Linked DNA regions of Caenorhabditis elegans. The protein of the gene in region 1 purifies or fractionates together with the protein of each later gene. This does not show direct contact. Each region holds a gene or a part of one and is shown in the gene's direction. Other genes may lie near its edges. The genes, in order: alh-10 and pgm-1.

Evidence for each region.
Region 2: the proteins of alh-10 (region 1) and pgm-1 fractionate together in Caenorhabditis elegans (co-fractionation; one large-scale study listed by BioGRID). This does not show direct contact.

Annotation. Positions count from the first base shown.
Region 1 is NC_003284.9:7,139,692-7,145,511, reverse strand, and holds alh-10 (Aldehyde dehydrogenase domain-containing protein), read left to right. Parts: upstream 1-1,870; 5' UTR 1,871-1,934; coding exon 1,935-2,167; intron 2,168-2,827; coding exon 2,828-2,956; intron 2,957-3,000; coding exon 3,001-3,178; intron 3,179-3,221; coding exon 3,222-3,568; intron 3,569-3,837; coding exon 3,838-3,946; intron 3,947-3,986; coding exon 3,987-4,142; intron 4,143-4,189; coding exon 4,190-4,300; intron 4,301-4,346; coding exon 4,347-4,475; intron 4,476-4,810; coding exon 4,811-4,939; 3' UTR 4,940-5,008; downstream 5,009-5,820. Other genes in the region: Laminin-like protein lam-2, read left to right, coding at 1-212, 264-445, 495-578; clec-86 (C-type lectin domain-containing protein), read right to left, coding at 5,018-5,310, 5,358-5,476, 5,523-5,611.
Region 2 is NC_003280.10:4,887,656-4,892,214, forward strand, and holds pgm-1 (phosphoglucomutase (alpha-D-glucose-1,6-bisphosphate-dependent)), read left to right. Parts: upstream 1-1,781; 5' UTR 1,782-1,787; coding exon 1,788-2,033; intron 2,034-2,086; coding exon 2,087-2,367; intron 2,368-2,414; coding exon 2,415-3,300; intron 3,301-3,351; coding exon 3,352-3,645; 3' UTR 3,646-3,772; downstream 3,773-4,559. Other genes in the region: R05F9.7 (Serpentine Receptor, class E (Epsilon)), read left to right, coding at 1-2, 51-398, 443-556; gst-9 (putative glutathione S-transferase 9), read left to right, coding at 3,933-4,065.

The DNA of each region.
Region 1 (5,820 bases):
CGAAGCTGTTCAGTATGATATTGAACAATTAATGGAAGAACTCACAGATTCAAATGAAAACCTGCAGTATTACAAGAAACAAGCCGAAGACGATAAGCAAATGGCTACTGAAGCGGTCCGCAAGGCAACTCTTGCCAAGAATTCTGCCATCGAAGCAAATGCTACCATTCTCGCTGAGGAAGATGAAATCAAGAAAATCATCAATTCTTTGGGTAAGAACACTATTTAGCTCAGTCAATTATTTAATGTCACTCATATTTCAGATACCATGGAAGAAGTGAACAACGCGGAGCTAGATGAGCTCGAGGAGGAAATTGACAGACTTGATCAATTGTTGGCTCAGGCACAACTTGCCAAGGAAGTTCCCACGTATCAGCAATACCGCGCTGACGAGGACGTAAAGGTGGCACAGCTCAAAAATGATATTTCTGAGCTCCAGAAGGAGGTTTGTTTTGCTGGCTATAGTATTCGTATAATTAAACTGTATTTTTCAGGTTTTGAACCTAGAGGAAATCCGTGACAACTTGCCAACCAAATGCTTCAATGTCATCAATTTGGAGCAAGAGGGACAGAAATAAGATAATCTTTATAATTTTTCTATCAAACTTTTTCTATGAAAATCGATCAGATAATTTATTAACTCTAATATTAAAATATCTGAAAAAGAGCCCTTAAAAATTATTAGGTCGGCAAATAATTATTGACGTGTTTTGCCAATTAACGATTTTTTGTAAATTTTATATGTGTCTCTTACAGTAAACCGAGAGTGTATAAAAGCATATGAATATCAGTTGCTTTGGTCATCTGAGTAGTAATACGATTCGAAAAAATCGAAAAGTTTTTTTTCCAATTTTTTGAGTTAGCCGTGAGAGTTGTAATGTTAATATCTAAATCAATTAAGTTCTGTTTGCTTAATGCAAAAAATGAATCCCAACCCAATTGAGCCATTCCATAAACTTAATAGTAAATCAAAGTCAAAAAGCAAACCGCACAAAAATACGATATTTTTTAGTTTTGATTAATTCTTGGAAATATTTTCTTCACAGCTAACTCAAAAAATCGCGAAAAGCATTTTTCAAAAAATTTTTGATTTTTTAGATTCTTAATACTACGCAGGTAGCCAAAGTAGCTGATATTTTTATGTTTTCATACATTCACATTTTACTATAAGACACACATACAAAATTTACAAAAATTGTTAATTGACAAAATACGTCAATAATTATTTGTCTACCTAATAAAATACGTTTAAATTGCTGATCGACTTCTATTATTAATTTACGTGTTGAGCCGGGATAATTATTTTTGTTCCCATAACTAATAATTTCCTCTTCCTGTCGCCTTATTGTCACATTACCCTCACCTTCCCCGGTGCCCAAACGCGTGCACAGCTTGATGAAATTTTGCAAAATTTTGTTAAGCATCTTCTGTTTTTTTGTCTTCTTTCCTATTATTTTGTGATAATGTTGAACTGTTCAACTATTCTAAATTATCACGCTAAACTATTTCCTTTATCAACGATTCTCTATTTAAAAAATATACCAAATTCATTTTTGTTATCCGAAATCTCATACCAAATTTTGCCACCAACACATCGATTTCCCCAACGCTTTCAGTTTCTTATTTGTTTTAATTAATATTTTTATAAACGTTCAATTTTAAAATTTTTTATGAAATTACGAAATACAGTTTAAGTTTTCAGAATATTTTCCAGACTACAAATATGACAACAATGTTATCTTTGTAGGCACACCATGGACAAACCATGCATCATAAGGTTTTTGCATTGCATACTGACCTTGAATAGATACTCGGTGTTGTTCGTGCCGATCGATGAGAACTATATAAGAGATGATGATATTGCAGAGATAGGAGAACATACCGAACAATTCTATTCATTCTACCAAAAACACAAGGTTCAAAATTGACTCAAAATGGCTTCTTTGAATTATCGCGAGGAGTTCAAAAATATTCTTCAAAAGCTTATCGATTCCCCCAATGAACAACACGACCCATTGACAAATTTTATTGGAAATGAATTTGCAAGATCGGAGAAATTAATGGACTCAGTTAATCCTTCGACTGGAAAACCTTGGATCAAAATACCAGACGGGACTGCGAGAGAAGTAGATCAAGCGGTTGAAGCCGCTAAAGAAGCGTTCAAAACGTAAGTTTTTGTGTTTAAATAAACCAAATATTGCTCAATTCTTAAAGCAGTGCAAAATAAATTATTTGAAACTATACCATTTTAACAACTAACAATTTTTCCCGGCTAAAAATTAATAGATCCATCGACCTTAAAATACCTACATAAATCTAGTTGAAAACACATGATAATTAACTTGTATACCCAAAATTAGACAGCGATTTTATAACAATTTGTTTCCAGCCTCTGCGACAATGCCACGTAGGTCGAATTTTAAATATTTACAAACTTTATGTCATTTTCTAAGCCGCCATAACTTTATTTTGAGAAGATTTGTAGAAGTTTAATGACTAAATTTGGTGTTTTCATAAAATTTTAAGTCTACTACAGCAATACAAAATTCTACTGCATCACCTTTAATTGTATGTGTATTTGTTAGTTTTTTACAAATTATATTCAAAACTGGAAATTTAAAATCAGATTTTCAAAGTTTTAATTGTCAGGTTTAGTTTTTATAAATATTTTTGAAGTTTGTACACCAGTTTTATCATGCAAATCTCCAAACTATTTCATGTCGCATTATTATGCAAATTTACGGAGAATCTGTATTGAAACTGTGTCCAACCCAAAAAAATCCTCGAACTACTCAAAAAATTAATTTTCAAATCAAAACATTTTCAGCTGGAAAAAAACAACAGTGCAGCAACGATCAGCACTTCTCAATAAAGTTGCTAATCTCATAGAGGAGTTTAACGATGATATCGCTATTTTGGAGAGCCGTGACCAAGGAAAGCCAATTGGACTGGCTAAGTGAGTGAACCTTTTTTGAAATAATAACTCCAATTCCTGTTTAGAGTGATGGATATTCCTCGTTGTGTGCAAAACTTTAGAGATTTTGCAAATGCTGCTCTTTACTCCCTATCAACTTCAACCATTCTCGAGCAACCTACAGGAAAATTTGTTAACTATGTGAAAAATGACCCTGTAGGTGTTGCTGGTCTTATTAGCCCATGGAACCTTCCCCTTTACTTGGTAAAATCGAACTTCGAAAAATATTTTTTACAACTGTTTTTAGCTTTCGTTCAAATTGGCTCCCGCATTGGTGGCTGGAAACACAGTAGTTTGTAAACCAAGTGAGATGACTAGTGTTACTGCATGGGTTTTAATGCATGCATTCAAACTAGTTGGATTTCCTCCTGGTGTCGTAAATATGGTGATTGGCGAAGGAAAAAGTGCTGGACAACGATTGGTTGATCATGTCGATGTTCCACTCATTAGTTTCACTGGGAGCACGGTAATAGGAAAGAAAATCCAAGAAGATGGTGCGAAGCTCAATAAAAAAGTGTCTCTGGAGATGGGAGGGAAGAATCCTGGAATAGTTTACTCTAATTACCGAAAGTCGGATATTGCTTCAATTGCAAGGTATTTGAAATTGTAACTGTTCTGTCTACTCTGCCCATCATGTGTAGATACCTAGTTTGAAATTTGAAAAAAACACAACTTTTTGTGCAAACACTGTGGTTCAAAGTAAGGATAATATGTTTATTAAAACTGATAAAACTAATTCTCGTCACGATGACAGTTGACGTAATTTGATGTTACCAAATCATCCTTTTTTATCTATACAAAATTTGTAACATAATGATATCACTTCCAAATAGGCACAAATTTGTAACTAGATAATGTTATAGGTCCTCATTTCTCAACCAAGGAGAAATTTGTCTCTGCACAAGTCGGCTTTTTGTGCAAAAACCAATTTTTGCTGACTTCGTTAAAAGTTATGTAGAAGAAGCTAAGAAGGTTTGCATTACATTTTTCAGTTCATTAATTCTAATTTTAGTTTACTGTGGGAGATCCAACTACTCAAGTTCAAATCGGAGCCATGAATTCAAAAGTGCACTACGAGAAAGTGAAAAGCTACATTGAGCTTGCCAAAAAAGAAGGCGCCGATATTCTTTGTGGAGGCGTGACGACCATTCAAAATGGGTGTGAGAATGTGAGTCAGATGTTATTAGTTAACCTTGCTAATCTTTGAAATTTTAGGGCTATTTTATTACACCTACAGTAATTGTTGGTTTGCATGACGCTTCGAAAGTTATGACAGATGAAATATTTGGTCCAGTTGTGTGCATCACGCCCTTCGACACAGCGGAGGTATGTTATGATGTTACAAGTTTTAAAGTATTTTCTGATAACACAGGAAGTAATTGAACGCGCAAACTCCACTCCCTATGGCTTGTCAGCAACAGTTTGGAGTTCAGATAGTGATGAATTGTTAAACACGGCCAACGAGCTGAGAGCCGGAACAGTTTGGTGCAACACTTGGCTGGTAAGATAATGGGAGATGATAATTCGAGTTGGGTGTGACCAAGTTCTAGTTAATTACGGACGATAAGAGCGGTATGTGTGGGTAGACAGACAACATGACGATTGACCAATTTGTTTTGCTTGGAATGATGTTCATGTAGCTACAGACCAAACTAAATTAATTGTAAATGTACCAAGAATCCATGAAAATCACCAAAAATAAAGAATGCTTTTAAAAAATTTATAGATATTCTGTGCTGCTTAATTGTTTCACTAAGCGTCACTAAAAACTACTTGGAACTTTTCCAATAGTTAATCAACTCTCGGTTTTAAATTATTCTCATGTTGAAAATTCAGGCTCGCGACCTGAGCATGCCGTTTGGTGGATGTAAGCAATCTGGAAATGGAAGAGAAGGTCTCCACGACTCACTCCACTTTTACTCCGATGCAAAAACTGTTTGTGTGAATATTGCTGCTAAGTACTAACTTATCATGAATCGCAACCGTTTATTGTAAAATCCAATTTAGCTCATAATATATAAATATTTTCTTTCGAATCAAAAGTTATTTAGAACAAGATGGACATGGTGGGCATGTGTACGATCCTCCAGTTGGATATGCTCCATTTGGATACTGGCACAGGAACTGATGCTTAACTGTGCACAAATCGGAAAACCATCTTCCTGTTGACAGTTGCATTGCTCCACAATGACGATCTTCAAGAGGCTGTCCAGGTCCGGGATTGGTGAAGTTCAAAACGCTCCCATCTGTCCATCTCCAGTCATTTGTATGTCCTTCGTCGCTTCCACCAATCCAGAACAAGTCATAGTCAGCATCTAGATTATCAACAGCTAGTTCTGAAATCAATGTATTTGGTTTAGAAATTCATATGTTCAAGACATACTTTGAATCCAGTTGTTTTCGATCATGCTGTGAATTGATACCAGACTTCCACCAACGGTTTTCAAGCAATGAGCATCGGAGTCATTGAATGTTCCATGTACTCGATTGTATGAAAAACAACTGAAAGATGTGATATTGAGACAATTTATAACAATAAATAACTTACTAAATCTCAAATGGAGTATCTCCAGGAAGACAATTTGGTGACACAAAACACAAAAGCGCGACAAGAGTAAAGAACAAAACACGAAGCATTTTCAGTGTCCAGTAAAATAATAAATTTTATCTGCTTATCACAGCTATTTATATACTCCATTTTAAGGCGTCTCCGTATTCTTCCCACAATATTATAAGCTTTTATCAGTGCTTTTTGCAGTTAAAATATTTAAAAAAATTAAACTCATAGATGAGACTGGAATGTTCATCTGTCTGTGTTATCATCGTTTGATGACTGATTTTGATAA
Region 2 (4,559 bases), on another chromosome or scaffold:
TTGTAAGAAGCACAATGCCCATTTTTCAAAATAATTTCTTCATTTTTTAGGTTTTAATGTGCCTTTACTATTATAATGTACAAGAATCCAAGAGATTATCATGGAAAGCTGAGAATCTTCGGAAAATGAAAAATGTAAATTATACATTGAGCAAGAAGTTTCAAGTTGAAGAAAATGTGAAAATTATTAAATATCTGCAAGTTATGAGCTCCATGTTGGTTTTTCTCATATTTTTTGTTATTATATTTATTGTAGTTCCTAGAGTATATCTGGGTTCAAAAACATATTCGGGTCAAGTTATGATTTCACTTTTTGATATTAATTTGGCACTTGGTGCAATTCTAATTCCTTCCGTTTGCGTTTTACATTTACGGAAAACTAGAGATATGCCATTTTCTGTAGGTTTTTATCAATTTTTCAGATTTTCATTATATATTTTCAGGGGAAAATCCATTGTTTGAATAAGAGACGCGATGACCGTCAGGTGAACCCGATTACTGTATTTGAAGACGTTACAAAATCATATTTCGATCAATTTCAAACATCTTGGCGATGATTCATATGATTTTTGGAAATATTACTTTGAAGTTTTGTTATAAAATGTTACATTAGAAACATTTGTGTTTTTTAAACATGTTTTATTCTTCAGTGATTCTTCCAGCACAAAACAAAAACAGCACAAAGTCCGTTGTTTTATTTTTAGTGAGAGCGTCACTTTGTTTTTATAAATAATTTAGATTCTTTTATTCATATAATTTTTGGGTAAAAAACTGTTTTTGGTTTTTTGAAAAATTTCATTAAAGTGAAACATTAACCACGGTAGAATTAAAGGCGCAGCATGAATAAGTTTTCGTGTGCTCCGCAACGATTTTAACTACCTTAACCTACAATCGGAATTCGTTTAAAAAACAAAAAGCGAGTCATTTTGTTTCAATAAAAAGTTGAGTTTTTCTTAAATACTTATCAATATTTTCTCCAAATTTCATTCGGTTACTATCAAAAAAAAGTTTTTTATTAATTACGGTCGGTTTAAAGGCACAGAAGGAAAAAAGTGTTTGTCAGTATCGCAGCGATTTTAATTACCGCATACCATTATTGAAATTTTGTTTGAAAAAAACAAATTACTCGAAATGCGCGCGCGGTATTCACCATTTGTATCGTTCTTTTTCCCGAAATTTCGTTGTTTTTGTGTTCGACACAATATATTCAATAGTTTGTAGCGATGAAAACCTTGATAAGCAATAGGGGGCGTCTCGAATTTTCGAAAGAGAGTATAAAGAAGATAAATTTTTTTTCGCTCATTGATTTCTTTTCATTTTTCTTTATCTTTTTTGATGAACAGCAGCAGTTGTTCCATTTCTACACGTATTTTGTTGCTCTCTATTTCTCTGAACTCTCTGTTTGTGTGGGTGCTCTCCTTTGGCGCCAACAACTGCAGCTGGCATTTCTTTTCTTTTTTCGCTGCGAAATCTGAACTATTCCTGCCCACCCACCAGAAGATAAATAAATTCTTCGTGTTCTTAACATGTCTGTCTACCTGGACTTTAAAAACCCCATTTAAAAGTTGCATTTGAGGTCAAAAGTTATCCCAGAAGAGTTCGAGCACATTTTAGGTCGGCCCATTTCTAAAGTTATTCATTTTTCTATGTTTACTATCACTGAACATTGACCAACCACTTGACTTTCGTGATAAGATACGAAGCGATCATTTTCTGTTTACTATTTTCTCTTTTCTCATAGTCAGTCCATTTTATTTTCTGATCTATAATATTTATTTTCAGCCTAAAATGGGAATCGCCGTCGTTGAAACCCCCACAAAACCATTCGCAGGACAGAAACCCGGAACATCTGGTCTTCGCAAACGGGTTCCGGAATTCCAGCAGCAGAATTACACGGAAAACTTTGTTCAAGCAATTTTGGATGCTGGTCTTGGATCGAAAAAGAAGGGTTCTCAGTTGGTTGTTGGTGGAGATGGACGGTTTCTTTCGATGGAAGCCACAAATGTGATTATTAAAATTGCAGCAGCCAATGGGGTAAGAAATATTGAGAAATTTTAGTAATTTTTTTATAAATTTGAGTTTTTCAGCTTTCCCGTCTTATCGTCGGTCAAAACGGTTTCTTGTCGACGCCAGCTCTCTCGAATCTTATCAGAAAAGGACACGAAGGTCGTGTTGTTGATGGAGGAATAATTCTCACTGCTAGTCACAATCCAGGAGGTCCAAAGGGAGATTTTGGAATCAAATTCAACTGCGAAAATGGTGGACCTGCTCCAGATCAAGTCACTGATGCCATTTATCAGATCACAACTAAAATCGATAAATACTTGATTGCCAAGGATTTAGAATGCGATTTTACACAAGTTGGAAGGTAAACACATCAATATTTTGATTACATTGATGTACATTAATTTTCAGATATGAATATGATATTGAGGGAGTTGGTCACTTTGTCGTTGACGTCATTGATTCAGTTACCGAATACATCAACCTCATGCAGAAAATCTTTGATTTCCCAAAAATCAAATCCCTTCTCGCTGGTGAACTTACTGGACGCAAACTCAGAGTTTTACTTGATTCGATGCACGGAGCAACTGGACCATACATCTCTACAATTCTTGTCGATCATCTTGGAGCTGATCCTTCTGATCTTTTGAGAACTGTTCCAAAGCCAGATTTCGGTGGAGGTCATCCAGATCCAAATCTCACCTACGCAAAAACTCTTGTTGAACGCCTCCACACCGGAGAACACGATTTAGGAGCTGCATTTGATGGAGATGGTGATCGTAATATGATTCTTGGAAAGAATGGCTTCTTCGTTTGCCCCAGTGATTCTTTAGCTGTTATTGCTGATAACATTGATTATATTCCATATTTCAAGACTCGTAAGGTTGCTGGTTTTGCTCGTTCAATGCCAACTGCTGGAGCTGTTGATTTGGTTGCCAAGGCAAAGGGACTTCAAGTGTATGAGACACCGACCGGTTGGAAGTACTTTGGAAATCTTATGGATGCTGGAAGAATTGCTATTTGTGGAGAAGAATCATTCGGAACTGGATCTGATCACATTCGTGAGAAGGATGGCGTTTGGGCACTTCTTGCATGGCTTCAAATTCTCGCAGACCGAAAAGAATCCGTCGAGGAAATTGTGACGAAGCATTGGCAGAAATATGGAAGAAATGTGTTCACTCGTTACGACTATGAGAATGTGGATGCAGCTGGTGCCAACTTGTTGATGACTTTCCTTGAAGCTCAATTGCCAGCATTTGTTGGAAGAGATTTCTCGGCAAATGGGGTTACATATAAGGTGAGAGAAAGTTCGAAAAGATTTATTTTTTCTAAAAAATACTATTTCCAGGTTGCTGTCGCTGACAATTTCCAATATACTGATCCAGTGGATGGTTCAGTTGCAACCAAACAAGGACTCCGAATTGTCTTCGAAGATGGATCTCGATTGGTATTCCGACTCTCTGGAACAGGATCTGCCGGTGCTACCATCCGTCTCTACGTTGATTCGTACATTCCTTCAAATGACACTTCTCGCCTTCTACTTCCAGCTCACGAATTGCTCAAACCATTGGTGTTGATTGCACTTGATACTTGCAAAATGGAGCAGTTCACTAATCGCAAGGCTCCAACTGTTATCACATAATTTTAGTATTTAAAAATGATTTATATATTGCATGAGTTTAGCTAAATAATTATGTGTAGATTTTCCTCGGTTTATATAATTTTATGTTGCACGTAAACGAAAAGTTGAATGAAAATTTGAAAACTTATGAGAATATTGTGAAATACATCAATGTTGGTTTTTGGAAAAAAAAGTTGATGTTTGTGGTTTTCTGATGTCGATTTAGTGAGAAATGAGAAACGCAGACACTGAGAGCGAAGGGTTCAAAAGCGCCAGATTGTGACGAATTCTTCATTTTATTCTGAAAAATGGTTTCCTATAAACTAATTTATTTTCAATCTCGTGGAAATGGAGAAATCGCTCGTCAAGTTTTCGCTTTTGCCGGCCAAGAATTTATTGATGAGCGTATTTCTAAAGAGCAGTGGGCAGAAATTAAAAATAGTAAGTTCAAAAGTTGCATTTTAGAATGAAATCCTCAGTTTAAAAAGTTGATTAATTACAATGTAGCGAAATGCTTCAGTTTTTAAGTGGTATCCCGCCACGAACAAAATATCCTCACATAAAGATTAAGGTGTGCCTTTAAGCAGTACAGTAACCCATTTTACAATTTTATTCGATTTTTCCACATTATTAAATAAATTCAATTCGATTTTCTACTGAAAAAAATCGAAAATATAACAATTCAAATATATATTTATTATTGGGGATTTTGGCAGATACTGCAGAAATTTAAAAAACTTTGCAATGCAAAAAAAAAATCAAAAATTCCAGGCTTCTTTTGGAATCATTTTGGCAGAACCTGCAGAAATATTAAAGTTCGGTTTTTTTAAAGAGATGATCGAAGAAACATTGTAGTGTCGAGCCAGCTGATCTAGAGGAAAATGCTCAAACGAGGAGTGGAAAGGAAGCTCTTTTTTCGAGCATGACAATATTAT